Linked DNA regions of Mus musculus. The protein of the gene in region 4 interacts with the protein of the main gene of each other region in a pairwise test. Links are inferred from orthologs where the notes say so. Each region holds a gene or a part of one and is shown on either strand. Other genes may lie near its edges.

Evidence for each region.
Region 1: the proteins of Cdc42 (region 4) and Plekhg4 interact in a two-hybrid assay, tested with the Homo sapiens proteins (2 studies listed by BioGRID and IntAct, with this or other methods). The link is inferred for Mus musculus from reciprocal best matches to the Homo sapiens genes CDC42 and PLEKHG4.
Region 2: the proteins of Cdc42 (region 4) and Cdc42ep1 interact in binary tests that used the Homo sapiens proteins (3 or more experiments, as listed by UniProt). The link is inferred for Mus musculus from reciprocal best matches to the Homo sapiens genes CDC42 and CDC42EP1.
Region 3: the proteins of Cdc42 (region 4) and Pak3 interact in a two-hybrid assay, tested with the Homo sapiens proteins (2 studies listed by BioGRID and IntAct). The link is inferred for Mus musculus from reciprocal best matches to the Homo sapiens genes CDC42 and PAK3.
Region 5: the proteins of Cdc42 (region 4) and Cdc42se1 interact in binary tests that used the Homo sapiens proteins (3 or more experiments, as listed by UniProt). The link is inferred for Mus musculus from reciprocal best matches to the Homo sapiens genes CDC42 and CDC42SE1.
Region 6: the proteins of Cdc42 (region 4) and Arhgdia interact in binary tests that used the Homo sapiens proteins (3 or more experiments, as listed by UniProt). The link is inferred for Mus musculus from reciprocal best matches to the Homo sapiens genes CDC42 and ARHGDIA.
Region 7: the proteins of Cdc42 (region 4) and Myo9a interact in a two-hybrid assay, tested with the Homo sapiens proteins (3 studies listed by BioGRID and IntAct). The link is inferred for Mus musculus from reciprocal best matches to the Homo sapiens genes CDC42 and MYO9A.

The regions. Positions count from the first base shown.
Region 1 is NC_000074.6:105,371,935-105,376,071, reverse strand, and holds the start of Plekhg4 (puratrophin-1), read right to left. Parts: upstream 2,801-4,137; 5' UTR 2,254-2,800; coding exon 2,210-2,253; intron 1,320-2,209; coding exon 1,173-1,319; exon of another isoform or gene 1,091-1,172; intron 846-1,090; exon of another isoform or gene 692-845; coding exon of another isoform or gene 609-691; coding exon 217-608; intron 57-216; coding exon 1-56. UniProt on the Homo sapiens protein: Possible role in intracellular signaling and cytoskeleton dynamics at the Golgi.
Region 2 is NC_000081.6:78,848,525-78,851,402, reverse strand, and holds the end of Cdc42ep1 (cdc42 effector protein 1), read right to left. Parts: intron 2,239-2,878; coding exon 1,472-2,238; 3' UTR 501-1,471; downstream 1-500. Other genes in the region: Lgals2 (galectin-2), read left to right, coding at 1-139, 253-396. UniProt on the Homo sapiens protein: Probably involved in the organization of the actin cytoskeleton. Induced membrane extensions in fibroblasts.
Region 3 is NC_000086.7:143,735,091-143,738,590, reverse strand, and holds part of Pak3 (serine/threonine-protein kinase PAK 3), read right to left. Parts: intron 3,335-3,500; coding exon 3,169-3,334; intron 1-3,168. UniProt on the Homo sapiens protein: Serine/threonine protein kinase that plays a role in a variety of different signaling pathways including cytoskeleton regulation, cell migration, or cell cycle regulation.
Region 4 is NC_000070.6:137,326,760-137,330,259, forward strand, and holds part of Cdc42 (cell division control protein 42 homolog), read right to left. Parts: intron 2,366-3,500; coding exon 2,256-2,365; intron 2,152-2,255; coding exon 1,954-2,151; intron 1-1,953. UniProt on the Homo sapiens protein: Plasma membrane-associated small GTPase which cycles between an active GTP-bound and an inactive GDP-bound state. In active state binds to a variety of effector proteins to regulate cellular responses. Involved in epithelial cell polarization processes.
Region 5 is NC_000069.6:95,227,164-95,231,223, reverse strand, and holds the start of Cdc42se1 (CDC42 small effector protein 1), read right to left. Parts: upstream 2,801-4,060; 5' UTR 2,359-2,800; intron 2,282-2,358; exon of another isoform or gene 2,210-2,281; intron 2,173-2,209; exon of another isoform or gene 2,019-2,172; intron 1,616-2,018; exon of another isoform or gene 1,592-1,615; intron 1-1,591. UniProt on the Homo sapiens protein: Probably involved in the organization of the actin cytoskeleton by acting downstream of CDC42, inducing actin filament assembly. Alters CDC42-induced cell shape changes.
Region 6 is NC_000077.6:120,578,825-120,582,884, reverse strand, and holds the start of Arhgdia (rho GDP-dissociation inhibitor 1), read left to right. Parts: upstream 1-1,260; 5' UTR 1,261-1,363; intron 1,364-1,637; exon of another isoform or gene 1,638-1,895; intron 1,896-2,491; 5' UTR 2,492-2,513; coding exon 2,514-2,703; intron 2,704-2,834; coding exon 2,835-2,918; intron 2,919-3,140; coding exon 3,141-3,217; intron 3,218-3,305; coding exon 3,306-3,369; intron 3,370-3,454; coding exon 3,455-3,654; 3' UTR 3,655-4,060. UniProt on the Homo sapiens protein: Controls Rho proteins homeostasis. Regulates the GDP/GTP exchange reaction of the Rho proteins by inhibiting the dissociation of GDP from them, and the subsequent binding of GTP to them.
Region 7 is NC_000075.6:59,749,916-59,753,973, reverse strand, and holds the start of Myo9a (unconventional myosin-IXa), read right to left. Parts: upstream 2,801-4,058; 5' UTR 2,629-2,800; intron 1-2,628. Other genes in the region: Senp8 (sentrin-specific protease 8), read left to right, coding at 3,710-3,712. UniProt on the Homo sapiens protein: Myosins are actin-based motor molecules with ATPase activity. Unconventional myosins serve in intracellular movements. Regulates Rho by stimulating it's GTPase activity in neurons.

The DNA.
Region 1 (4,137 bases), on a different chromosome or scaffold from region 4:
GAGGTCTCGAGCTAGGAGACAGTCAGCAGGCTTAGGGAAGCTGGATCCACTAGGGTCTTGGGAAGAGAAATGGCTTGGGTCTGAATCGGGCCATTCGCCCAGAGACACTGTCCACAGACTAGGGCTTCAGACAGAGGAGGGTCAGAGACCTCCCAACTGTCAATGCCCACCTCCAGAGAGCCCCATTCCCTCCCCAGACTTCCCAGCCTCCCTTACCTGCCTCCAGTAGCTTTGGTGATGTCTCTGATAAAGGGCTACAGCCAGCTGGCAGCGTTCTGCCTGGACCTGGGTCCCCTATCAAGCCTTCCCCTCGATAGTCATTGTCACCCTGTGTCAGGTTAAGGTGAGAGGACCCAGAACACAAGAGGTTTTCCAATTCAGAGAAGGCTGGCTCCTCTGACTGGGTTGGGGGGGCTCCTATTATGCTCCTCTGGTAGCCCCGTGGCCCATCCTCAGCCCTTTGTTCCGGAAGCGATTGAGGCTCCTTGGCCAAGAAATCCCCCTGTAGCCCTACGCCTTGGGTTGCCCCTGCTGCTGGTCTTGAAGGTCTTGGGTCCATAGCCTGTATCTCGTGAGCAGGTTCCTCCTCCTTCCGGGTGTTCCTGAAACTGCACACAGCAAATCTCTTCCCATCTGCAACATGGCCCTGGGAGTCTGGGGACACATCCCCACACTCAAGAGGCCCTTCCATCACTCCCTGGTAAGAGTGGGTCTGCTCTGGACAAGTGGATAACGGGTTGGACTTTGACGTGAAAGGAAACTTCAGCTCATCCAGGAACTGGTTTGAAAATGGTGGGGCAAGACTCCGCGGTTAGGAGGAAGTGCTAGGCTGGGTACCAGGTCCCCTGAAAGTAAAAGTAAAGTAGTCCAGCCTGGTGTGCTGGTGAGGGAAGAAACAGGGTCTCCTTTGGGCCTAAGACTGGCTTACGCTTCCGTGAACCACTACTGGGTGGCCATACCTTCGGGCACACCTTCACGACAGGCTTAGCCGGCTCACGCGCAGCTCTCCGCTCTAGCCCACCCTGCCAGGCCTTGGCCTAGGCGCCTGTCCCAGTGCTCCCGGCCCCACACGGGTCACCCGCACACTCACACCCCTGGGACGTGCAGTGGGGAACTCTGAAGCCGGGAGGCTACACCACCAGAGCCGTCGAACTAACGAAGAACAAACGCACCGCAGCCTCGAGGATGGGTACAGCGAGGCTGCCCAGATTCCAAGGGCGCCACCTTCTGGTGGCTCGAAGGGCCGCAAGGCCGCTGTGGACGCGGCGCTCTCTAGGGGCTGGAGGACCGAATCACAGGTTCTTCCGGAAGGCGCCGCTCTGCAAGGCCGAGGGTGCGGAGGAGAGCTGGGACCACGCCTACTGCCCCCTGCCTAGAGCATCCGCGCCCGCCGGCCGCTGGGTTCCTACTCTCAGTGCCTCGGAGACTTGGCGAGCCCTCCCTTGACTTCTCATTCTGCCGACCCCGGCAACATTCATTCCACTGTGCTCACTGTGCTCAGAGCTGGAACTGTCTGAAAGGGTGAGTGAGCCGTGGCTCTGCCGATGGAAAGAAGGCTCTTGCACGAAGCAAAGGACGCCCTTGTGGGAGGAGGGCAAGGCTCCTTTACCATTCCCGTGATGGGACATGGGAATACTTGCCCAGCTTCCATGTACAAGATGAGGACCACTCAAGCCCTCGTGGTCCTCAGAGCTGTCCCACCACCCACCACCACACACTCACACACACACACATGTGAGTCCATGATTAGGGGCCGTCTCCAGAGAGACTCCCTATGCCCTGGTAGCTGCGTGTGGATAATCTTCACGGATAGTGGGAGGGACCACCACTCCTCTGTAGCCTGAATCTCCCCTTCAGGTTCTCAGGCCCACCCACCACGGAACAGGTTGGATGGGCTGTGAGGTGTAACTCAGTAGCAGAGCCCTTGCCTGACTTGTGTGAGCCCCCAGGTTTAATTAATAAAACAAACAACAAAAAGACAGAGAAATAAATTAGAGATAAACGGTGACATCCCATGACTTGTTAAACCCGGAAGGTGAAGAGGGTAGGTAGCTATGTCTCTGGGTGGGAATTGACCCAGGCCTGCCAACATACATAAGGCTCAAACCCTCATTCCCTGAGTTCTTTTTCCCTATCCACAGAAAAGGGTGGCTAAGAAAGCTGGTGCCCTGGGGCCAGAGACCAGCTGAGATCTGGTTCCATCACTCACCTCTTGTGGGCTGTTCCAGGGACCCTTTTCTCTTTGCACCTCATCTTCCTCTCCTGTAAGACAAGAAAAGCATTCTTTTCTCCTGGGGTTGCCCGATGGACCAGGGAAATCCTGATGGATGGATCAGATATCTGTGTTCATGCCCTGCCTTCCCACTTCACCCTTCGTTAGGGAATCTTGAACTGATGAAAGACACTGGGATAGCTGGGAGACCCCTACTCGTTCTTAACTCTAAAGTCTGGGGTCCTTTTGGAGGAAGTGGGCCTGGCCTAACACTCTTGAATTTGTGGAAAGATCATAAGAAAAAGGTTATCTGTGCAACCAGACAAAGGCATGTAGCCCCCACACCATGGCCTTGGTCCCTGGGAGGAGAGGACACTGGACATAATGCCTTCCCTGGCTCTAAGTCAGGCGATTCCTTCATGAATCTAGTTATCAGCTGCAGCCATGGTAGAAACAACAGGCGTCCCCACCCATCTCTGACTCTAAGGCAGATTCTGAAGAGCAAGGGGCAAGGCTGGCCTTGGAGTTGTCCTTCTCCAGCCCCAGCTCCTAGGCATGTCTTCCATCTCTCCTTCCTCTAGCTTCAGTGAGCATCAGGTCCAGTCTTGGCTTCTGTCCTTGGTTCTTGTCCCAGGCCACCCCCACTGAGTCATTGCCCCTCCCTCCCTCTCTCCTTCCCTCCCTCCTGCTTCTGAGGCTCACCTCCACCCACTAGCCAGGCCCCCAGGAGCTGTAAGAAGATGGACTTCCCGGGAGGAACATAACCCTTCCCAGGGATGAAGCAAATAAGAGGCATCAGGTCTCAGGCCCTAACTGACCCAGGCCCTCTGAACACAGCAGGCGGTTGGGGGAGCGCAGGCACGCGTGCTGAGACAGAGGCAGAACTAGGCTGTGGTTTTCTCACTCCACACAGAATGTGCCCTGTAAGCAGGCAGACTGAATATTGTCCACTTTGATATTTCGAGCTCTGTATGTCAGGCCTGGCACAGAATAAATATTTAGGGGTATCTAAGACTAGTCACACCGCCCCTCCCGTCCTGAACTCTTCCCACGTGGGTGACGTGGAAACCAAGGTTAGAGAAAATGACTGACAGACAGACTCAGACAGAAGAGGCAGAGAGCTGTGAGGCACACGTATCTGGGATGGGAAAGGCATGGAACAGCAACAGGGACAGACACTGGCCCAGTGCGGGACAGTGGGGGGCTAGGCCTGGAGCCAACCTGGGGTGGCTGACCACAGCGGGCTTCCAGAGCTGAGCTTGCAAGTCTGAACAGTGACTCACGAAGGCCATCTCTGGTTCTGCTGGTTGCTGAATCTACTCAGAGAAGTCTTTTCCACTGAGATTGTAGAATGTGGACAGCCCCCCCCCCCACTCCGCCCTCCCCCCTCCCCAGCCCTCCCTACCTCTCTTTTCTTGACAACATCCATCCATAAGGAAAGAAAAGGGAAGAAAAGAAAAGAAAAGGCGACTCCTTAGCTTTGGAGATCTGGGGATACATTCCCTTAAGTCTGTGTATGACTTAAGTCCCTTAAGCCAGGACCACTGTAATCAGCAAAGCAACTGATTTCTCAAACCTCCCAGACCCCTCTCATCTTTGACCCAAATAAACCCAGGCTCCTGGGAGTGGCATTCAAGGCCACCAGGGGCATCACAGCCTTTTCTCTTAGGTCCCAGACTGCATGGGGAAACAGAGCTGACTAAAACCCTGTTGTCTCAGACCACCTTCTTTGACGTAGAACGGCCCTCATTGTGACCAAAGAGTGCATGCCTCTAATCTAGGGCTTGAGATGAAAGGGCTGGACGATACACAAGTTCAAGGCTAGCCAGGTCTAAAAAAAAGGGGAAAAAAAAAGTTCCAGACAAGACAGAGCTTCATAACAAGATCCTGTTGTTTTTTTAAGATGGAGGGAAGCTAGGGAGATA
Region 2 (2,878 bases), on a different chromosome or scaffold from region 4:
GGGGAAAGAAACCCTCAACCTGCATTTTAACCCTCGCTTCGATGAATCCACCATTGTCTGTAACACCAGTGAAGGTGGCCGCTGGGGACAAGAGCAACGAGAAAATCACATGTGCTTCAGTCCAGGGTCAGAGGTCAAGGTGAGGTCAAAGGAGAACCCAACCAAGGCCCTCCAGCCCCAACCTGGGGAGCGCCACCAGGCACCTGTCAGGACCCTTCCCTGGCTCTCCTGATAAGCTTCCTCTCCCTGCAGATCACCATCACCTTCCAAGATAAAGACTTCAAGGTGACGTTGCCTGACGGACACCAGCTGACCTTCCCCAACAGGCTGGGCCACAACCAACTGCACTACTTGAGCATGGGTGGGCTCCAGATCTCCTCCTTCAAACTGGAGTGAGCGGCACCTCAGAAGACCTTAGCCCCCAGAACCAGCTTCAGCCAGCCCTCCAGCAAGCCCCCACCAGAACCACAGCCTTTAGGGTCTGTGCTTTTCCCCAAGGTCAAGGTCAAATAAAAGAATCCACATTTATTATTTCCACAGCAAGAACTGTTAGCATTTTCCACGCATGTTAATGCTCCCCCCCACCCCGGCTTTGGTACCGGGGGGGGGGGCAGGAAACTGAGGCACGGGGTATAGTACTGCTGAGAAGAGAGGATGGGAGGTGCTCCTGAGCCACCCTCTGCATGGGGACCTGTCTCCCTCCCGGTGATCTGAGCACCTGCCAAGCAGCCCCATGGGATTATGGGGCAGATACTGGTTCCTGGCACCTGGGGCCAGGGTGTTCCAGGAACTGCAGATAAGGGTCCCACCTGGGCTTCTTATCGTTGAACATTCCAGGCTGGTTACTCATTAGCTCGTCTGGCCCCCCTTCTCTCCTAGCTAGAGGGGGGGGCGCCAGAAGGGGGTCCTCAACTTTCCAAACTCTCAGGAGGAGAAAGCACAGGTCAGCCGTGGCCGGGCCTGCCTCCTTGGGCAGGCAGATCTTAACAGAGAAGCTTTAACAATCAGGTATGGGAGGCAGGTCTGGGGTACACAGAAGATTTGCTCCTGTGTCACGCCTGACCTTTCTCTGGGAACTGAGGAGGAGCCTGGAACCGCGCTACTGAGAACACAGTGGAGGCCTTCTGCGGTAGCTCTCAATGAGTAGGGGCAGCCAGTCCCACTCACAGACAATGGCCCTATGTGGTCCTTGCCCCAACCCCCACCCCACTAGGGAAGTGTCCTGGGGCACAAAGACCATACTGTCAGACCACAGGGGGTGGCGTAGGTTATAACTGAAGGGCTAGTGGGCCTAGGGACAGTGGAGGGAGCTGGGTCAGGTCAGCGGGGACCCATGCCTGCCTTGCATAGACCAGGAAGGATCTGGGGCAACTCCCGTTGACCACATCTTGTAGCTGTTAGGCAAATGAACTCAGCCCCTCTGTTCTGTGAGCCCCGAGGCTGACAGGACCTGGAGCCCATGGCCAGTCCCTTACACCTTGACCTCGTCATCTTCCTCAGCATCAGCAAACTCAAAGGCATTGACCTGCACCGAGGTGGGCACAGGAGCCCTGACACTGGCTGGAGGCGCGCTCCAGTCTTCATTCAGACTCTCCCAGGAGCCATGAACTTGGGGTAACACCCCTGCCAGCTCCCGCCGGGCATCCATCTCAGTGTAGTGGCGGCTGGCCCGGCTGGCCCCCCAGCTGGCCCGGCTGGCCCCCCAGCTGGCTCCATGCCTGTCAAAGGCCATGTTGGAGGGTACCTGGGGACCCTCTCCCACAGGACTGGGCTTTGCCTCAGCCGCAGGGCCCAACACAGAAGTTACCCCATTGGGGAAATGTCCACGGGATGGGGAGCTTGCCACCGCAGGGGCTGGAAGGCTTGTCACAGCAGAGGCTGGAAGGCTTGTCACAGCATCTAGAGTGGTTATCGCATGGGCTGGGGGTTTTGCAGTAGGGGCAGGGTTTGCTGCAGGAGCAGGGGGGTTGGCAGTAGGGACTGGAGTTTCAGCAGCTGGAGCTTCTGAAAGGCTCATGACCCCTAGCAGCTCACTGAGGAGTGAGGGCCCAAGGTCAAGGTCAAAACGGAAGGACAAGAGAGAGTCAGAGCGTCGGAGCTCAGGGTTAGGGGTAGGCTCAGAGGGGAAAGAACTTTGCTCTCGGTCTTGAGAATGGTCCGGGTCACGGTCACGGTCACGGTTGCTGTGCTTTTCCACGCGTGGCAGGCGTGAGATGGTGCAGAAGCCAGACTCCAGGCCTAGCAGAGAAATGGGGAGAAGGTCAGGGGTGGGGTCCCTAATCTGTTCTTGGAGACAAAGAGTCAGGAAAACCCTTGGTAAGCTGTACACACACAGACACACACACCTGCTGGCCTCCATTTTGCCTGCTTTTCTAATGTAAGGACCCCACAGCCTTCTATACTCTCTCTGTGAAACTAACCCTAACCTGAATCTTGACACTCAGTCCCTGGTGTGGACTGGGTCATGGTTCCTGGTTCTGATGCCGACTGATTGCTACAGGTAAACTCAAAGCACCTGAGGTGATCTGTAGATACAGGAAAGAGCCAGAAGCCAGGGCCAGAACAGAGAAATCACAGGCTGGCAGGACAGGCTTGTGTCTTCCAAAAGTTTACCTGCCCAACTCTCGCTTCCAGGACTCCCAGGCCTGACAGGTGATGGAGTTCCTTGTGCCTATAGTGGCAGCAAGACTGTAATGCATTACATGGCCACGAGGGGGCAGAAGTTACCCATGGTCCCCTGGTGAGTTGTCCTGCCAAAACCTCCGTGGCATTCACACCTGGGTCAACTTGCCAAGTTACAGGAGCCTTTGTTCAAATAACAGCTTCTGCCCCTGGCACCTGCTGCAAAGCAGCCCAGTGTGTGTGTGATTTCACTCTA
Region 3 (3,500 bases), on a different chromosome or scaffold from region 4:
GGGAGGTTAAACAGAGTTTCCTGCACTTCAAAATTGTGCTGACTGCCAATGCCTTTTCAAAACATTTGCTAGCATTCAGGAGTTTCCTTTATTTTCCAACAGATCCAGACAGACCACAATGAACAAGCCATTCCCAAGCTATCTGTCTGTGTAAAACTGAAAGATGATCTGTGCACTTCAGCTATTAATGATTACTTGGTCTGGCCCCTACCATCCGTATCTGAATGGAAGATGAATTGCCTGGTAGCTCTGTCTGTGGTTTGGCTTGCACAGTTTCTAGCAATCACATTCTTGAGGTTGAAGATGAGGATGATTAAGTAAAAGCTGCCATTTCTTTCTCATCCTCATAGGGTTCACTATCATGTAGGTGGAAGGGCACCCCTGTACTTCTCTGCCTCCTTCCCCAACCCTCATTCCTTTGTCTCTCAGCACAGGCTCCTCTACTACTTCCCCAAGATTAATTCGCACTTTTGATTCCAATGACATCAATGACTTCTGTGTAGGTACCACACTTACGAGATTGTCCTCAGTTATAAGCACCCTATCCTACTGGAAGATCACTCCCATTCTGTAATGATGGCACAACGGAAATAAAACAATAATTTTAAACTAATTATTGCCCTGGATATCTAACCTACTTGAATGTGTTTATTTAATCTTCAAAATAGTCTCTCATTGTATTGGGGCTATTACTATTATTGGAAGTTCAGAGAAGGTAAGAGACTTCCAAAGGGACACAGAGTTTGTGATATGACTTGGACCTCATTATCATTTCAAAGTTTGTACTCCTAATGAAACCAAGAGCATTTGTTGAGTCCCCCACTGTGAGCCAGAGGTTTTCATTGAAGTGGCATTATTATTATTATCCCAACTTTTGTGGATGAAGAAATAGAAAAAATTAAACAACAGGCTGAAACAGAAATAGCATCAGTAGGTCATTGTTTTGAATCTAGGTCTTTCTGTCTCCAGTATCTGTCTTCTTGTGATACACATTCTACAGAGAAAGTTTTTAAATGTACTTATGATTCTTACACCCATTTCATAGGTAAGAGACAGAGACCAGGCAAGGTTAAATGACTTCTTTCTGGCAGCCAGTATGCAAACACATTGAGGGGGCATAGATATGGTAGAGCATTTTGGGGCTGGAAGGTCTGAACTTGAGATGTGTACTTCCTAAGAAAGCATTTTCCATTTCTCTGTAGGTTTTCCTTGGCAAGATTCATAAGCATAAAGGAAAGCTGGCAGATATAAGTAGCCTGATTGCTAGAGCGAAAACAATTGACTCTGGACTCTAATAAAGTATAAAGTCCAATAGAGAAAAACAGTCACTTAATTCTTTTTTTTTCTTTACAATTATTCTCATTAAAACTTAGCTCTCATTAACAGTTAGTTCAGTGCCTTCTTCTGTTTGTCCTGTTGTTCCTTGATGCAGACCAAGATAAATAAGCCAGAAAGGTCCCATCCATATCACTGTCACAGTCTATAGGGAAAAACCATGGCTCAGAAATGCAATGCCTATTTCTCAGCTTTCTTATGAAATGAATAAATCAATGTTCATGACAATGAATGTGCTAAGGTTCGAAAGAGACACCAGAGAACAGTCATTTTGACTAATGCATGACTGTCAGATTTTAAAAGTCTAATGTAATCTGTCTCACAGTTCATGTCATATGTACAAAACAAAGGAAGAACTGTAGTGATTATCTGAATCACTGAACCTCATTTTCCTGAGGGTTCTTTATCTCACCCCTCTGTTTGAAAAACGAGTAGTTGAGTTATGCAAAACCGAAGTGGCTAATGGGCAAAAGTGCACGCTTTAAAGGCATAAAGATGTGAGGTCAAACTCTGCCTCTACCACTCATTATTATGGTGACTTGGTCACTTAAGCATTTTAAAATTTATATTCAGTGTTCTGTAAAATGTAGACGTTAAGATCTACCATAAGTGACTGTAGAGAAAATAATATATGGAAAGTGGCCACTCACAAAGTGCTCCTCGTGTAAGAATTATTGCGGTTGTGCTATTAGAGCAAATGATGGGCACTAAAGCTAGAAGCATATTTAATGGAGGATAGCAAAGTCAGTTTGCTAAATTGTAGCAATTCCAGGTCTGAGTGTTGACAGCTGAACTTCAACCTTGGCTGCCACAAACATCTCTATTTCAAATGACGATAGTGCTACATATGAAGCTATTTTGAATGCAGTAGACACAAAGTAATTATTCTGTCCAAATCAGAATTTTGTTGTGAAAGGCAAGGGAGGGGATGTCGCATCCTGATCCCTACCAGTATCCCTAGCCTCCATCATCTAGATGACAGCAGTCCTGTATCAGTTGGGAAACCAAAAATTGTCTTAAGCTAGCTCCTTCGTAGCAAAATGGCTCTGTCGCCATGACTACAGTGCCTCCTTGTGGCCAGCAAATGAATTTTCTCTTTTCCTTTGCTCTGCTCTGTTAGCTGAAAAAAAAAATGTAAAAAGTGACAGCCCCTTTACTCTCATTATGCTACTAAATCTTACCCTGCAGAGGAAAAAAAAAAGGAATAAGGCACTTGTAAGAGTTAAACTGAGCACTGATTACTAATATGTAGCCATTCTTTATGAATTTAATAATACAATTCATAGAACCTTGACTTTTTTCAGGGGAAAACCTATTTCTGAATCTTGAATCTTGAGTACTTTGTCAAATTGGAAAGGGCAGAAGTATGTGCGCACCAATGACACCTTGGAAGCAACTGCTGCTCCTGCCTCCCTCCCCACCGAGATAGGGGAAGCTATTTTATCTGAGGCTGCAAGTTTTCTATTGTACTCTATTGGACTTTAAGGCTGATTTTTTTTTTAAAAACTAATGTCTATCAATGGGGACCTTCTGGTATAGTCATGACATACTTTAATTCTTTTTTAGTATTGTAATCTTAAACTTACTACCATAATATATTTTGTCCTTTACATCTTCATTGACCATTTTGACCATTCAAAGTGAAAATGCTAAGTTTCTGTCAGAGTAGGACTATGAGGGAGAAAATAACCACTCTTAGAAACAGAAAGTCCTAAAAAATTACTTCGTGACATAAGAGATCCTAGAGTCCGACAAGAAGATTGGAAGATCTAAAGGATCAAGTCTCCTCCTAGTCACTGTATGAGAACTACTTGCTGATGGGAAGGCACTCACTCAGCTTCTCTAGGATCTCCTCATCCGTCATCTTGGACTTTTTTCTTTGCCGATCTGTATTCCTGTACAAAGTGGTGGAATTGGCATTCTCAGCAGAAGGTGGGATATCTTCTTTATTTGGTGCAGCTGGTGAAGCAATTGACTCAACCACGGAGCGAGTATAGATCTGAAAGACAGACATACCCAGCACAATTTCACAATTCAAACAGTAGGTAAGGAAGTATGGCAGCAAGGGACTGTCACGTCACTGTTAAAGAACATTAAGGAAAATCTTACATGCTAATTCGCATCTTGCTGCTCCTCTCTTAGTAATTCTTCCTATCTGGTTCTCA
Region 4 (3,500 bases):
AGCTGACCACAGAAACAGGCTACCAAGGAAGCTTTTATGTTCTATAAAGGTCAGAAATGTGCCCAGTCTCTAATTATAAACTATATTTATAGATTTAGAAATTTTATTTTGATACTAGAAGAGCAAAATCAAAATCTTAATTTTTAAATCTAAACTTAACAGAGATAAAACACAAAGTCCTAGCCAGGCGGTGGTGGCTCACACCTTTAACCCCAGCACTTGGGAGGCAGAGGCAGGTGGATTTCTGAGTTCGAGGCCAGCCTGGTCTACAAAGTGAGTTCCAGGACAGCCAGGGCTACACAGAGAAACCCTGTCTCGAAAACAAAGAAACAAACAAACAAACAAACAAAAAGCCCCACAAAGTCCTAATCTTAGGAAGCTACTAAATTATTGTCAACTGTTAAGGATAATTAAGAAATGCAAGTGAAGGGGCTGGAGAGATGGCTCAGCGGTTAAGAACACTGACTGCTCTTCTGAAGGTCCTGAGTTCAAATCCCAGCAACCACAAGGTGGCTCACAACTACCCATAATGAGATCTGACACCCTCTTCTGGAGTGTCTGAAGACAGCTACAGTGTACTTACATATAATAAATAAATAAATCTTAATAAAAAAAAAAAGAAATGCAAGTTGATAGTAACCTTATAAATAAATGATCAAATCTTTTAATGTGTCCAAAAATATATTTGAGGTTTCTCTATGAATTGACGTAATTACAAGATGAAGTTTTACTTAGCCCCTTGTTTTATGTTTGCAAGGTACAGTTTAGCGCAGATACCTGAAAACAGACAAAGATTGTTTAACTCAGATATGCTCGGTGGGTACTAGCCCTCAAGCCTGTCAGAGACCTGTTGACTATGGCATTTAATATGCTTAAACTTATTATATGACAGTGACTCCCAAATCCTAACAGTGATACACAACCCACCTCTGCAAGTTCTTCAAGAAGATATAGGCAGAATGACAAAAGACTAAACCTGGATTAGAGTACATTGACCAGTGGACAGACTGGCCCCTGCCTTGCCCACTAGGGCCCAGCCTGCACTGTGGGCAAACCGGACACGGGAAAACTTACTGCTATGATTTATTGCTAAGTGTTGCTGAAGACAAGATGAGGTCAGTCTCTCCCATGTTCCTTCTCCACAAAAAAAAAAAAGGCCTCCCTCTTCTGGCCTAATGGCCAAAGACCACCTCTGACCACAGTGCAACAGGACCACAGGAATCTGGGACAACTGTCTAGATAGTGGTCTCTGTCATTCCAGACTGCTCAGAGCACTGGAATCTCCCAACCTTAAACAGGCATCCCAGTCTTCCAGAGCTCTGACATCAATGTCCTAATTTCAACTAAGAAGCAGTTACAGAAGAGATTATGTTGCCCTTATCATAAACAAAAGGTTGAAATGTCAGGGCCAAATTCTGACAGATGGACAAAAAGCCCTCACTCCTCAGGAAGTCATTTCCTTATCACTGGCAGAAGGGACAAATTGCTACCTAGGGTGCCTATTAGCATAACCAAGTGCATGCTGACCTCCACCCACTCCTTACCCTCAACTTCTCCAGCTCAGAAGCCCCCATCCCACCCCACCCCACTCCACCTCCAGCTTCTCATTCCCTTCTATTTCAGCCCTCTCTTGGTCCTCCTCTCTCTTCTTCCTTCAAACCCCACCACCACCATGGCCAAGTCCAGTTTGCTGGCCATGTTCAGTCTATTTTCTCTCTCATCTCTGGATTCTTCCTGATGTCTTTCCTTCATATCTACAATAAAAAACCTTCCTCTCAACTATACCTTGGAATAGTCATGTCAGTTTATGTACTCTGCAGAACTACACTCACACAGTATACATTCACGGACAAATTTTTAAGGGAAAAAAGAAAGAATAAAAGGAAAGAGCCTCTGTATCCTAATGCTCAAAACAACTGACTACAGAGACATAGGTTCCAGAGCCCTCCTTACCTGTGTGAGGGCAGAGCACTCCACATACTTGACAGCCTTCAGATCCCGCGCCAGCTTTTCAGCAGTCTCTGGAGTAATAGGCTTCTGTTTGTTCTTGGCAAGTTTCTCAATAGTAGAGGGGTCATCTCTGAGATCAATTTGGGTCCCAACAAGCAAGAAAGGAGTCTTTGGACAGTGGTGAGTTATCTCAGGCACCCACTAAAAGCAAGGTTTTAAAATGTTTTGTTAATCCACAAGCCACTGAAACTGTAACAGGGCAACAGGAATTCTGTGCATGTTTCAAAGGGCAGAACCTGACTTACCTTTTCTTTCACATTTTCAAATGAGGATGGAGAGACCACTGAGAAACATACTAGAAAAACATCTGTCTGTGGATAACTTAGCGGTCGTAGTCTGTCATAATCCTCTTGCCCTAAAGAAAGAGTTAAGAGAGGTTGGCAACTGAGATTTGGTATCCTCGCGGCATTAAAATCACAGGTCAGGGGCTAAGGCTATAGCTATTTAGTATACAGAGTGATAACCTAGCACACATACAGCCTTGGACTCAAGCCCTATACCACATTAAAAACAGGCATGGTTGGCACAAGCTTATAATCTCAGCACTAGTGAGACAGAGGCAGGAAGGTTAGGTGTGACCATGAGATCATATATCAAAAAAATTGTCAAAGATGAACATGGCGGAGCTAACAAGATCACTCAGTGGTAAAGATGACATGCCTAACAACCTGAATTCAGTCCCCAGAAAACAGACGGTGAAAGGAGAAAATCAAATCCCCCAAGTTTAGCTTCTTGACCTCCACATATACATGCTATGGCATGTGCTTCCACATATATACATACATACATGTAATCTAAAAGGAAAAAAATGGAGATAGTGTGCATGCCCATAAACCCAGAGCTCAGGAAGCAGAGGCAGGAGATCACTACAAGTTTGGGTGGTCTACAAACCAAGCTCCAAGTCAGTCAAAACTACATAGTAAAAGTCTTGTTTCAAAAAAGAGGTGGGCAGGGGACTACAGCTCCGCTAAGACTTCAGGTATTCAGCTCTTAGCATATCAGCCATTAGTGACAAAGCAATTTTGCTAATCAAAGGTATAGCTTTGTAATATGCTGTTTGGACAATACTCTCTGTGCTGGTTCTATTTATATATGCCACTAAATTAAACAGCAAGGAAATTGGCATACTACTTTTTTTTAAGTTCTTTATTAATAACTTAGTAGTAATGTAACAACAATAAATCATTACTACAGGTGTAGTTTAAGAAAAAAATCATATTTACTTCTAGCTACTAAAGATCACAGTGAGACCACCTAACAAAATACTCTACTGAAGGCATCCACCATCCATAATAACTACCAGACTAAGTCCAATGCTCGATCCATAGGTGCATGTTAAAGTCAGTATCTGTAACTGGAAAGGCCTAGAAAAAAGGAACTTGGCAAGAATGAAGGAGATGTAAAAAGAATAAAATAATTAGGAGTTAGCCAGAGGTGAAAGGGTCACAAAATAAAAATGGCAAAAACTAAACATAGGAAGTCCTAAGAAA
Region 5 (4,060 bases), on a different chromosome or scaffold from region 4:
TCTTACTTGCCCCAGATGAAGCTCAGCCACCCCTCCCAGAGATCAGCTAATACCTGCCCTTGTCTTTCCCGAAAGCTAGGCAGACTGTGGACACCTCCCCGTGGCCCACCCGTGGCCCTTGCTCCATGTCTTGTAGGGGTAACTCGAAGAGTAGCTTTCTGCTCTGAGGAATCAGTTTCCAGCCTCCCCACCCTTTTACACATGTCCTATCGTGTGCAGCTCCTGCCTCACACCCCAGAGGGCCTGCTTAGGCCTCCCTTCATCTTCCCCTCATGCTCTGACCTGTGTCTCCCACTCTGCTCCCCACCACCTCGAAGCTCCACCAGTGAACCAGACACAGGAACTTTCCAGTAGCACTTGTGTCCAAGGAAGAACTTTCTCCCCTTTCACTGCTGCCAGGGGTTACGGCCCAGCTGAGTTTCCTTGTGTGAACTGCACTTCCCTCTCCTATAGTACAGACCAGCTCTGGGAGGTAGCACAGCTCATGAATATTAAACATTAGCATGAATAAGAATGGACCTTTCCCTCCAGGCTTGAGGCTGGAAGCCTAGCCTTCCAGTAGCCTAGACAGACCAAAAAAAAAAAAAAAAACCAACAAAAAACCGAGTTCAATTTGTTTTTTGGACATTTTTCTTTGTTGTTTTGTAGCAGCCTTGAGATGAGATCACTCAAACAGTGGAATAAGGCTTCTAGGGTAGGAAAGAACCCAAGAGTCTGGACTCTCTTTCACTTCCTTTCCCACCCCTGGAAGGGAGGAGTAATGAGACTGAAGTCCAGAGCACAGCTGCCCTGAGAGGGGAGGCTTGGTCAGTGGGAAAGTCAGTCACAAGGCTCATCAAGATGGTGGCAGGTGGTAAGGCTTGGGGGAAATGGAGAAAACAATAAAGAATCAGAGGAAACCCCTAACACTACCAGATAGTCCAGACTGAGGCAGGGCTCTACCAACGTCCTCCACCCTGCCCCAAGCGAGCCGAGCCGGCGGCGTGGTCAGGGGTGGCCGATGCTGGAAGCGGGAAGGAGGAGGGAGAGGAAAGGGGGCCGAGGAGGGAACAAGGACAGTTCTGTTTCTCTTCCAGGGACCTGACCAAGCTGGGTGGAGGGAAAGTGTGTGTGGGACTTGGCGTGAAACCACCAATGATGATGAGAAGTGACCAGGAAATTCCATTCCCTTAGGACATTAGGGTCTCTGAAACTTGGAGGCCCGTGTCAGAGTGTGAAGACCAGCCAGGGTCACTGTGGTAGTGCGGGAGTTGGGGGTGGGGTGGGGTGGGGTGGGGGGGGGGGGAGGAGGAACAAAGCCAGAAAAGGAAGTACTAAGCTTTGGCTGTCACTCCTCTTCAAAGCAGCCAACGAATGGGCTGGGAACAAATAAAGCCTGAGCTGGCTAGCTGGGGAGGGTGGGATGCTGAATCCATGGCCCACTACTTCATCCCCACAGTAAAAAGGAAGCCAGGAGGGATCAGGGACAAAAGCGCAGAAAGCCACATCCTTGACAGGAGGGCCCCTCTCACTTCCACCAGAAACCCAGAACTTGAAATGACAAACCCTAAACCACCGTCATCGTCCCGGTGGGCCTTACACACTTCAGAGCTGTAGAGGGGCGAGCAGGAGAGAGGTGGGGAGGAAGGATGTACACAGGTAGTTCCCCGAGCCTGTGGTAGCCCCAAACCGGTTCTCCCGGTCCCGCTGCCTCCGGCCCCAAGGCCTCCCTCTCCAACCCGCTGTCTGACAAGCCTTCACAAGAAGCAAGAAGCAGCTGGAGAGAAAGAGACTTGAGAATCGTGTGGGCAAATTCTGGCTATAAGCCCGGGGATGCAGCTGGTCCCTGTGTGGAGACCCTCCAAACATAGCGGGCTGCTGAGGGACTCCCAAGAGAGGAATGGGCCCCATTTTCAAACAAGTTACAGATATTTGTCCGAGCACCAACCCTGCCCTAACCCCAGGGAAGGGCTGGGGATACTTAAAAGTTAACAGAAGGAGATCCTAATTTCTTCCCCTCCCCCAATATTCTCCGTCAGACTCCAGCTCCGTCCCCCACCCACTGCGACCCAGGATGGGAACTTCGATGAATTGTACTGGCTCTGTCAATGTTCTCCGTGGCTGCTTCACTCTGGCTTAGACCTTCCGGGGCCCAGCACCACTTCGGATTCTCTAGCACAGCAGATCTCTCAGGTTAGAGGGCCGGCGAGGAGCCCCTGTCGCTTCGCACCTTCCACCCGGCCCCACGCTGCAGTCGCCGCTTCCCTGCCTCTCCGTGGCTTGCGCCGCCCGCGCGTGTACTGTGATCGCGACCTCCCCGCTGCCCTGCCCTCCCCTCCCCGCCGCCCGCGCGCAGCCCGGCTCGCCCGGCGCTCTTACCTGCGGCTCCCCGGCGTCCCCACTGCGGGCGGGGGCTCCGCCACTCCGGGTCCCCTGGCTGCTTCTCGGCACGGCGGGGAGTTGAGGGCGGGCCGGCAGAGGTGGGGCTGGCGGAGGGCGGAAACGCCGGCGACGCGATTACGAAACCCAGGGGCTGAGAGCGGAGCGCAGCGCTCCGCCCAGCTTCGGGGCGCACGGCGTGGCCCGCGGGGACAGCGGCAAGCACCGCGCTCGGGGACAACCGCGGCACCCCAACTGTCTGTGCTAGTCTGTCCACCTGCTGCAGGCGCTGAGAGGACGATGCGCTGGGGCCCTTTCTGAGTCTCCCAAAGTCCCCTTTAGTCCTTACAGTGGGAAAGGAGGGCCATTCTGTTGTTTAACCGGAAGACTTTTTAACCCATACATCTAAGTTAGAGGACAATTAACTGCTCAGCCATGCGCTCCAGTCAGCACGAGGGTACTTGGAGAGGTGGGGGTGCGGTGCGAGCCGACGGAGAGGCTCTACGGTGGATAGCGTGTTCCGGAACCTATCCCTCGAATTAGCCGAGTCAGGCAGAGAGGGGGCGGGGAGTGCTTCCGCCCTTGCTAGGAGGGGCTGCATTGCAGGGGAGACCCAGCGGCAGATTCTGTCACAGACGAGGGAGAAGGCGTGAGGAGACAAAGCCGTCACATCCGCGACAGCTTCCTTCAGCAGCCTCCTCCTCTCCAGTCCAGAGCCGACCCCCGAGCCCCTGAGGCATCCCTTCCGTCTTCGGAACACCCTAGTCATTCATTGCTAACAGGTAACCAAGACGAGGGACCGCTTCTTAAGCTTGAAAGACCCCGTGTGAGACCGAGGTGGGGGGCAGTTTAAGAGGAGAGAAGGGGGCGCTATGAACAATGGGTTACTATTCGTTACCAGATTTTTTATCTGTTAAGATCTCCATCCATGCCTTACCATGGACCTAGGCATTCATTTCTAGCACTTTACCTGTAATCATCTCTCGGCATTTAGCTCTTCATTTCATGTATTCATTTTCCTATAATTTTTGCCCTGTGCATCTAATGGCTTCTGTCTAGTGTCTAGTTATCTATATCTTCCTTTTCAAGCTATAATTTCTGCTACCAGTTATTTGGTGAATCTTTATTCCTACTGTAATTATTGTAGCCTCTACTCCCTTGTATTTCTATCCCCCTCGATTTTCTGTCTCTTGTAGGGAGGTTTGGGGAGTAGGGTACTTTTTTTTTTTTTTAAACATGAGATGCTATTGAGAGTGATTGGAACCTTTAACAATCTCCTCCCTATCTCAGATTTTTGCTCCAAAGAGGCTTTAGGTGGGACAGGTGGGAGCCATTGTGGGATTGCCCGATGGCATGCTGCAATCAGTGTAGCTCACAGGAACTACTTATGACAGCAGATTTGTCTTTGCAGCTCCTCCTAGAAAAAGGGGAGGATTGTGGCTAATAGGAAAATCCTAGAGCAACATGAGAAATACCAGGAAGCCTCCATTTTCATCCACCACCATCCCTCCTTAGACTGCATGGTGGCAGCATGACACAGCAAGGCCCTGTGGATTAGGCCTTGAATGCTCTTGGGGGGATCTGGACAAAGGGTATTTGGGTGTGTCCAGGTAGTTTAAAGAAAGTGTATCTTTTAAATGTGTGTATCTACTAATCATTTTATCTCTAAGAATAGACAATGAAAATTTAGAAGTTACTCTGC
Region 6 (4,060 bases), on a different chromosome or scaffold from region 4:
GTTCAGAGACTACTTCAAAATATTGATATGCATAAACATAAAAACGCAGCTTTGGAAGATTTGTACTTTGAGCGTCAAACCAGGGAATTGTGGGTGGCACAGAGCTCAATAAACCAGGCTCATCCAGTTGGAGGACCATGAGCCTCCTGAAAAGCCAGCTTGACACACTTCGTTGGGCACACCTGTGTGTAGGTGGAAGGCCAGCCAAATTCATCATACAGTAAGAGTGGGGATAGTCACGTGGCTTTTTGTTTTAGAATAGTTCTGCATAGAAGAGCAGCTACCTGGATGTAGGGTAATGATATTGCAAATCCATCTTCCTTAGAGATAAAAATAAATGAGCTTGAAAGAACACTTGGTTTGCTTCAGATTGATGTATAGCCAGAGGGTATGCGTGCTTGTGTAAAATAACTGGGCCACAACTGAAGATGGAGAGTGGAGGCCATTGGATTCCTCATCTTTTAAGTTTGATGACTCTCCGGAGCCAACAGCTGTTTCCTGGATACCACAGGGGCAGGTGTGGCCAACAGAGCAGGCCAGAAGCGATGGCTTTTGTGGGATTAAGCTATAGAAGTCCCCGTAGTGCCCCTTAAATTCCTGCCTCCCCTCAGTCTGAGGCTACACTCAGAAGAAGCCAACATGGAGTGCCCTCACGGAGTAGCAGGAACTGAGACTCCTCAGGAGGAACTGGAGTGGCTGGCACAAGCACACGACCGGGAACCCCCCCAGCCAGGCCCTCCACTAAGGAGGCTCCATCCTCAGCGTCGTGAAACACGCCTGGCGGTGATGGTGCACGCCTTCAATCTCAGCATCCTGGAGGCAGAGGCGGGCGCGTCTCAGGGATGAGGTTCAAGATAGGCAGGCAGCCCGTTCCAAGGAAAACCGCTCCTCACAGCAAAACCATACAACTTCTAACATACGGGGGCTCGGGGGGCACGCAGTCCCCAGAGCAATGCGCCAGGCAGCACAGCTACAGGGCACTGCGGTCGGTGAGGACTGTGGTTCTGTTGACTCTGAGGACAATGGGACAAGGGCCAGGCACGGCAATCAGGGAACCCTGGGAGCCACAGAATGGCCGCGCGACGCTGCTCTGGAAGAGCCGGCTCTCGTGTCCCACAAACCCTCGCACCCGGCATTCGGCAGAAGGCGCGAGGGCGCCGGCCCACGCGGGACGCGCCCACGAGGCCCGCAGCAAAATGGCGACGGCGCCGACCCGCGCCCCCTGGCGGCGCATGCGCAAGGCGACCCCGCCCGCGAGAGCGGAAGTCTTGTGACCCCGGAAGTGACCGTCCGAGCGGCGGGCGGCGGACGACGTTCGTCATTTGGTGCGGGAGGGAGCGCGAGAGCGGCGGTCGAGCCTCCGGTGAGTGGGCGCGTGGCGCAGCGCGGTGCAGTGCGGGAGGGGAGTGGGTTGGCTTTGTGCGGCGTCGCGGGCGACTGCGGCGCTCGCGGGCGGGGCGCGGTCACCCGGGCGGGCGGGCGGGGCGGGCCAGGGCGGCAGCGCAGGTCCTGCCGGAGGGGCCGCGGCCCCCCGGGCCTGCGCGCCTGCTACCAGGGGACCCCCTTCCTCGGCCTCGCGGGCGGGGTCCGGCGCGGGGCCTGGCCCGGGGCTCCCGCCGCGCGGCCCCGCCCCGCTCGGATTGCGGGCTCTACGGAAGTGCGGGCCGCGCCCTGATGCTGTCGCCGGCGGCCACGCTTGGCGTCGGGTGGGGTTGTCTGTAGCCTCCGGGTTTCGGACCGCCGCTTTATGTGTTTCCTTGGCGGACACCTCTCAGAGGGACAACGGCCGGGCTCTTCCCGGGACCGCTGCGCATTGCCTGTAGGCATCACAGTGGGTTTCCGAGAGACGTTTGGGAATCTGCGGAACTGAAAGGCATCTAGGCGCTTCCGTCCTGGTTGGTTCCTCACCGCCACTAAAGGTTTAGGGTCAGGGCCCAGAAACAGGCTCCTGAGATTTATTTGCAAGCGGTGCACTAGCTCCCAAGTTGCATACGCAGACCCTCACTAGAGAGGACAGACCTGCGTATTTAGGATCCCCTTTGGGCTCTTGGGATTTAAGCGGTCATCACATAGTTGAGCTTAGGACAGTATTCCATTGGAAGGGACGAACAAACAGACCCTTGTCCTGCACGTGGCTAACATACAGAGCATCTCCCTGTCGGAGAACTTACCTCCATGACCCAACCCAGTAAGATGAGAGCCTGGGCAGCTAGGGACAGCAACAGGACCCCAGGGATTTAGTGTTGCGTCTGCCAGTTCAGTTCGGTCTGGAGGCTTATTCTTAGTGGGGAGGAAAGGTGTTTTGCTTCTCTGAGGAACAGGCTGTGGTCCCATTTCGTTGCTTGGGGTTCTAGTCCTCTCAAATGGGCCTCTGCGTAGGGCAGTGGCAGCATCCTCTCAAAGTTCCAGTCAGGTGTCCTGCAGGTGTCAGGGTCTGCCTAGGGTGGAATGCCTCCAGGCTGTCACAGTCCTGCTCATGCCCCGCCCACAGGTGTCCCAAGCTAGAGGTAAGCATGGCAGAACAGGAACCCACTGCTGAGCAGCTTGCGCAGATAGCTGCAGAGAATGAGGAAGATGAGCACTCTGTGAACTACAAGCCTCCAGCCCAGAAGAGCATCCAGGAGATCCAGGAACTGGACAAGGACGATGAAAGCCTCCGAAAGTACAAGGAGGCCCTGCTGGGCCGAGTAGCTGTCTCTGCAGGTAGGTGGCTTGGAGGAAGGATGTCATCTAAACCTGTGCCCAGTCTCTTTCCAGACCACTCTTCCAAGGAGTGAGTTTAAAAAGAAAAATCTTAAGGGATGGGACTCTGACTCTTAACTCTCACTCTGCAGACCCCAACGTCCCCAATGTCATTGTGACTCGACTGACCTTGGTATGCAGCACTGCCCCAGGCCCTCTGGAACTGGACCTGACAGGTGAGTGGGTATTAGAATCCCTGGGTGGGGCCAGCTGGCATCTTGCCTCTACCCCTAAAAATAATTTTCTGCACTGATGCCCTCTGGTGGAGAAGAGGGGAAGTGCAGCTAGGGGCTTGCCGAAGCTCTGCTTTGTGTCAGGGAAGGGGCTGGGGAGAGTGAATGTAGCAGGGTGGAGAGCCCTTCAAGCAAGCAGTCAGCGGAGACTCCTCCTCAATACAGGTGATCTGGAGAGCTTCAAGAAACAGTCGTTTGTCTTGAAGGAAGGTGTGGAGTACCGGATAAAAATCTCTTTCCGGGTAAGGTGGGGGCTTTGAGAGGCCTGGAAACAAGGGGCAGAGGGGCAAGCCTGGGAAGGCAGCTGACCCTGGCTCTGTGTCCCCACAGGTGAACAGAGAGATCGTGTCCGGCATGAAGTACATCCAACACACATACAGGAAAGGGGTCAAAAGTGAGTGGGCGGGCCATAGAGTGGGGAGCCATTGGGCCTGGGAGGGGCGTGCAGCACCAGTAATCCTGCCTCTCCTGTCCCTCAGTTGACAAGACTGACTACATGGTCGGGAGCTATGGGCCGAGGGCCGAGGAGTATGAGTTCCTGACACCCATGGAGGAGGCTCCCAAAGGCATGCTTGCTCGGGGCAGTTACAACATCAAGTCGCGCTTCACAGATGACGACAAGACTGACCACCTGTCCTGGGAGTGGAATCTCACCATCAAAAAGGAGTGGAAGGACTGAGCTCCAGCTGGGAGACGGGCAGGGCGACGGACAGACAGAAGGACCGACATGCCCCACCCTAACCCCCTACCTACCCCAAACCAAAGTGCTGACAGGACCTCCCTCACCCGTCATTCCTCCCTAGTCCACTCAGGCAGTCAGCTCTCCTGTCTGCCCCTCCTCCACCTCCTGCCCGCAGGCCCCTGTGGTCTCCAGTGTCACATTGCTGCTTCTGCCTGTGCAGTGGGGGAGGGGTTCCAGCCCAGGCCTCCAATCTGCTGTGTCCCTCCAGGTTCCCTCTGTCTTCCCTTCCTCAGGCCCTGGCTTCTAGAATGGAACAGAACACTGTCAGGGTTGTCCAGCCCACCTTGTCTCTGTCGCAGCATGGGGAAGGGCTGGGCTATCTGTCCTCTAGTCCCACCACTCC
Region 7 (4,058 bases), on a different chromosome or scaffold from region 4:
AATAAATCTTTAAAACAGTAATACTAGTGGTAAAAACAACACATTAGATTGTAGTTTTTCACTACTAATAATTTCTTAAAAGAACTTAATCTAGGTATTTATATGCTCTAAATATTGAGTTTCTGCCTGAAATCTCTTCCTTGTAACTATACATCTTTGCCTCCAAAATTTACTACTGGCACAGAACCTGATGTTATGAATTTCTGACACAAATTCACTACATAACAGCCATTTATTTATTTTTTTAAAGATTTATTTTATTTATATGAGTACAGTGTAGCTGTCTTCAGACATAACAGAAGAGAGCATTGGATGTCATTACAGATGGTTGTGAGCCACCATATGGTTGCTGGGAACCGAACTCAGGACCTTTGGAAGAGCAGTCAGTGCTCTTACCCACTGAACCATCTCTCCAGCCCGTAACAGCCATTTATTTAACATGTCACAACTAAAAATTAAAATCTTCATCATATGGATCCTCACATAAGGGGAAAGATTGGAACAATATCTCCAATTTTGTCCTCTCTGTATGCTTTTCCATCAAATCACCAAGACTTGTCAACTACCAATATCCAAATTCAGAACTATGGTATCACCCTTCTAATATATTTCTGGCTTTAACTTTATTCTACTTTTAATCTGCTCTAAAGTGACTTTTAAAAATGCTCATCTGAACATTTTGGTCCCTCACTTCAAATCCTTTAATAATTGATCTGATAAATATAATTACCATTAAAAGTAGTCTTGAGTTGTAGCTCAAGAGAGTCCATGAGAAGTTTACTTCAGATACACTTCTTTTTATAGGTTCAATACAAAAATAATTATCAGAATTTTTTCAAACCATGAAAATCATTTATACATATAATACCTGGTACATTTAGAATAAAAGCTTGCAGTAATTTTTAGAAAAAGGACTAAAAATAAATCCAAGTCCATCAAAATGGAATACTACCCAACCAGTAAATGTGGCTCTTCCGTGAACACTATTGCTGAATGATCTCTAGGACTCAGCAGTAGTATGTGAAAATGGAATAATTTGTGTATAGTTTGTGTGTCTTTAAAATACAGATATAAGCTTATAAACGCTGGAAATATCACATCATACCAATTACAGAAGCTGAAAAATAGAAAATGAACAATTGGAGATTGGAGAAAGAGAAACTTTTTACTACACTATTCTGATGGTTTTGACTTCTAAACTGTGTCTCATTAATACCCATAATGTAAATTGGTTTTTCTCCCTGTATTACACACAGACACAAAAAAATGAAAGGAAAAAAAAACCGTAAGTACTAACTACAAAAATATCCCCCACCCTTACATAAACATTAAAATTATACACTTAACACTTAACATTACGCTTCCCTCTTGACATCTCAGGAGTATAATTTCAACAAACATTTTATTCAATATTTTACTACTACTAAGAAAGCTGTTAATAATAACTTCAATTCTGAATGACACTTATACTTGGTCCTTGGAGAAGACTGGGTGGTAAAAAAATACTAAAAACATTAGCCTTCAGGGATTAAGAACAGCTATAAATGCTGTTTTTCTAACAAGTTCAAAAACAGTAAATCCAAAACTCCTCTAGTTAAAAACCTGTGTATCTGTACAAATCTACAGTGCTGAGACAAATATATGAAGAGTTACTTATCTTCATTGGTGTAATGCAACTTAATCCTTACAGAAGCCCAGAAGTGACAAGATATAGACTGGTTCTTTCCTTCTACTGAAGAGACAAGATGAGGAGCAAGCAGCTTGCCCTTGTAACAGCACACATACCCTCCCTGCCTGGGCTTTCACACTCTTTGCTCTCTTTCCCTTTCAGCAACCAGTCCCTGAGGCTCCAAACATGGGTCTCAGTCTGACTCCTTAAAATCCAATGGAGTGAATATACTGGACTATGTAAATAACCCCTTCGAGTTTTCCTGGAAACTTCTTTTCAACCAAAGATCCCGATTGGTTAGAAATCAGGTAACAAGGTTTGCTTAAGAGGTCTTCTAGAGAAACTACACCAGGGCGGGGGGGGGGGGGGTGTGAGGGGGCGATCCAGCACTCTGATGGTGATTTGAAGGGCTAACCGGAGACCTACTAGGTAAGAGCATCATGACATTGGGCTATCTGAAAGCTCGTATGGGTAGGGGGAAAACCTAGCAAACCTGACTGGAAGTAAGCTGCGTGAGGGTCCCTATGAAAGCTCGGGTAGCGATGACTCGTAGGATACCCAAAGATCTGGGACGTAGCAATGCATTAGGAAGCAGTAGTGGCCTTGGTTCCCAGACAAGGATCCGCTCCGACATAACGGTGTCTAGAGGTTCCAGTCAGAGTCCTAAAGAGGGTCTAAAGAGGTTCTAGCAGGAGGTGGAAGGGGGCCAGTGACAGAAGCGCCGCGGCTACTGGTGGACAGAATGGTGTCTGGTCAATGAAAGGTACGGGAGAGTCGAGTCTGGGGGTGGAATCCCGGCGGTACTCCGGCGATTGCTAGGCTTTAGGGGCAGAGCTGCTGGCGGGGCGTCTCCGCCGGGGCGGGGCGGGGCAGCCCTCCGGGAGCCAAAGAGCCGAGCGGGAGACGTGGGCCGGGCCAGGCCAGGCGGCAGGGCCGCTGGGTGCTGGGGCGGGTCTTACCTCTGGCTGCGCCGCGGTGGCCACCACAGCCCCTTCCTCTTCGGCGGTAGCCGCTTCCCCAGCTCGGTTTCCAGGGTCAGAAGGAGAAAGCAGAGGCCGAGGCCGCCGGGGGGTAGGAGGGTTCCGCGAGGGTGGGCCCAGTCGCCTCAGGGTCCGAGAGAGCGGCGGCCGCGCATCCCCCGCCCTGTCAGAGAGACTCCGCCCGGACTGGGCAGGCACATCCCCCGCCGCACCCCGCCCAGAGAGCACGCGTTGGAAGCTAAACCGCGGTCCCTGCTTTTGCCCGGGGACCGGTATCTCCGCCGCAGTCCCTCCCCGTCCTGCCAGGACTTTCCGACGGCCACCGCCAACTGCCTCTGCGTCCCCAGTCCTCTCAGGCCTGCGCGCCCCCGACCCCGCTCACGCGGCCCCGCCCCGCGCGGCTCTCCAGCAGCAGCCGAGCAGGCGCGCGCGCACTTACCTCCCACGCCCCCTGCTGCCAAGCCCCGGACAGCCCCGCCCGGCCCCGCCTCCGCACGTGACGCTGCTGGAGCGGGCTGCCTGCGCTTGCGCGGACACGCCTATTTTCCACCCTCCGAATGGCCCCGCCTCCCCATTCCTTCTTCACTTTACGGCAGGGCTGAGACCTCCGTGTTAGATTCTCGATTACTACATAAAAACGTCGTAAGGTTGGAAAGGCAAACTCTGGGATTACGACCTTAAGTCTCACTTTCCGGCCAGTACAGAGCTCCCTGAAGGCTGGTTGGGTTGGTGAGGCCTGAGGAATAGGTAAGACGCCTCCTCCCTACTTAGGTTTGTCTCAGTTTTTGGAAGCAGTGGATCGCTTTGCGCTCCACGCAGACTCTAGTGTGTCCGAGCCCCTTCCTCATTCTGCAGCTGGATTCTCAGCGCCGCCCCTTTTCCACACACGCACGCCCCTCCCCCCACTTGTTCCCGCCCCCGTGGCCAAGTATTTCTTTCCATTCATTCCACAGACTTTTCACTGAGTTGTTTCTATGCTGTAAAATCCAGAATATTAGAAGAAAATGAAAAAATATCCGCTCTTTTGAAGTGCTGTGATGTAGGAAACAAAGAATCCGCAATGGTAACACAGTAAAATAACACGGGATGAGCTGAACACAAACGGGGGAGTGGGGGGGGGGGGGTCCTTGATTGCAGAAGAGGACTTTTCCCAAATGACTTTCAGGCCTGTGGAGAACTCGTGTTAAAACCTTGGTGGACCGAAACTGGCCAGAAAGAAAATGGGAGTAGAGAAAGGCTAGTACAAAGGCATGTGACAAACAACCTAAGAGTAAAAAGCAAGAGGATTGGCATATACCTAGTAAAAACCGCGCAGGTAGACTTCCATTTGAAACAACTAGACTATGTGGCGAGTGAATTTAAGGCCAATCTTGATCACAAGGCGGGGGAAACTTAACTATAACAAGTGC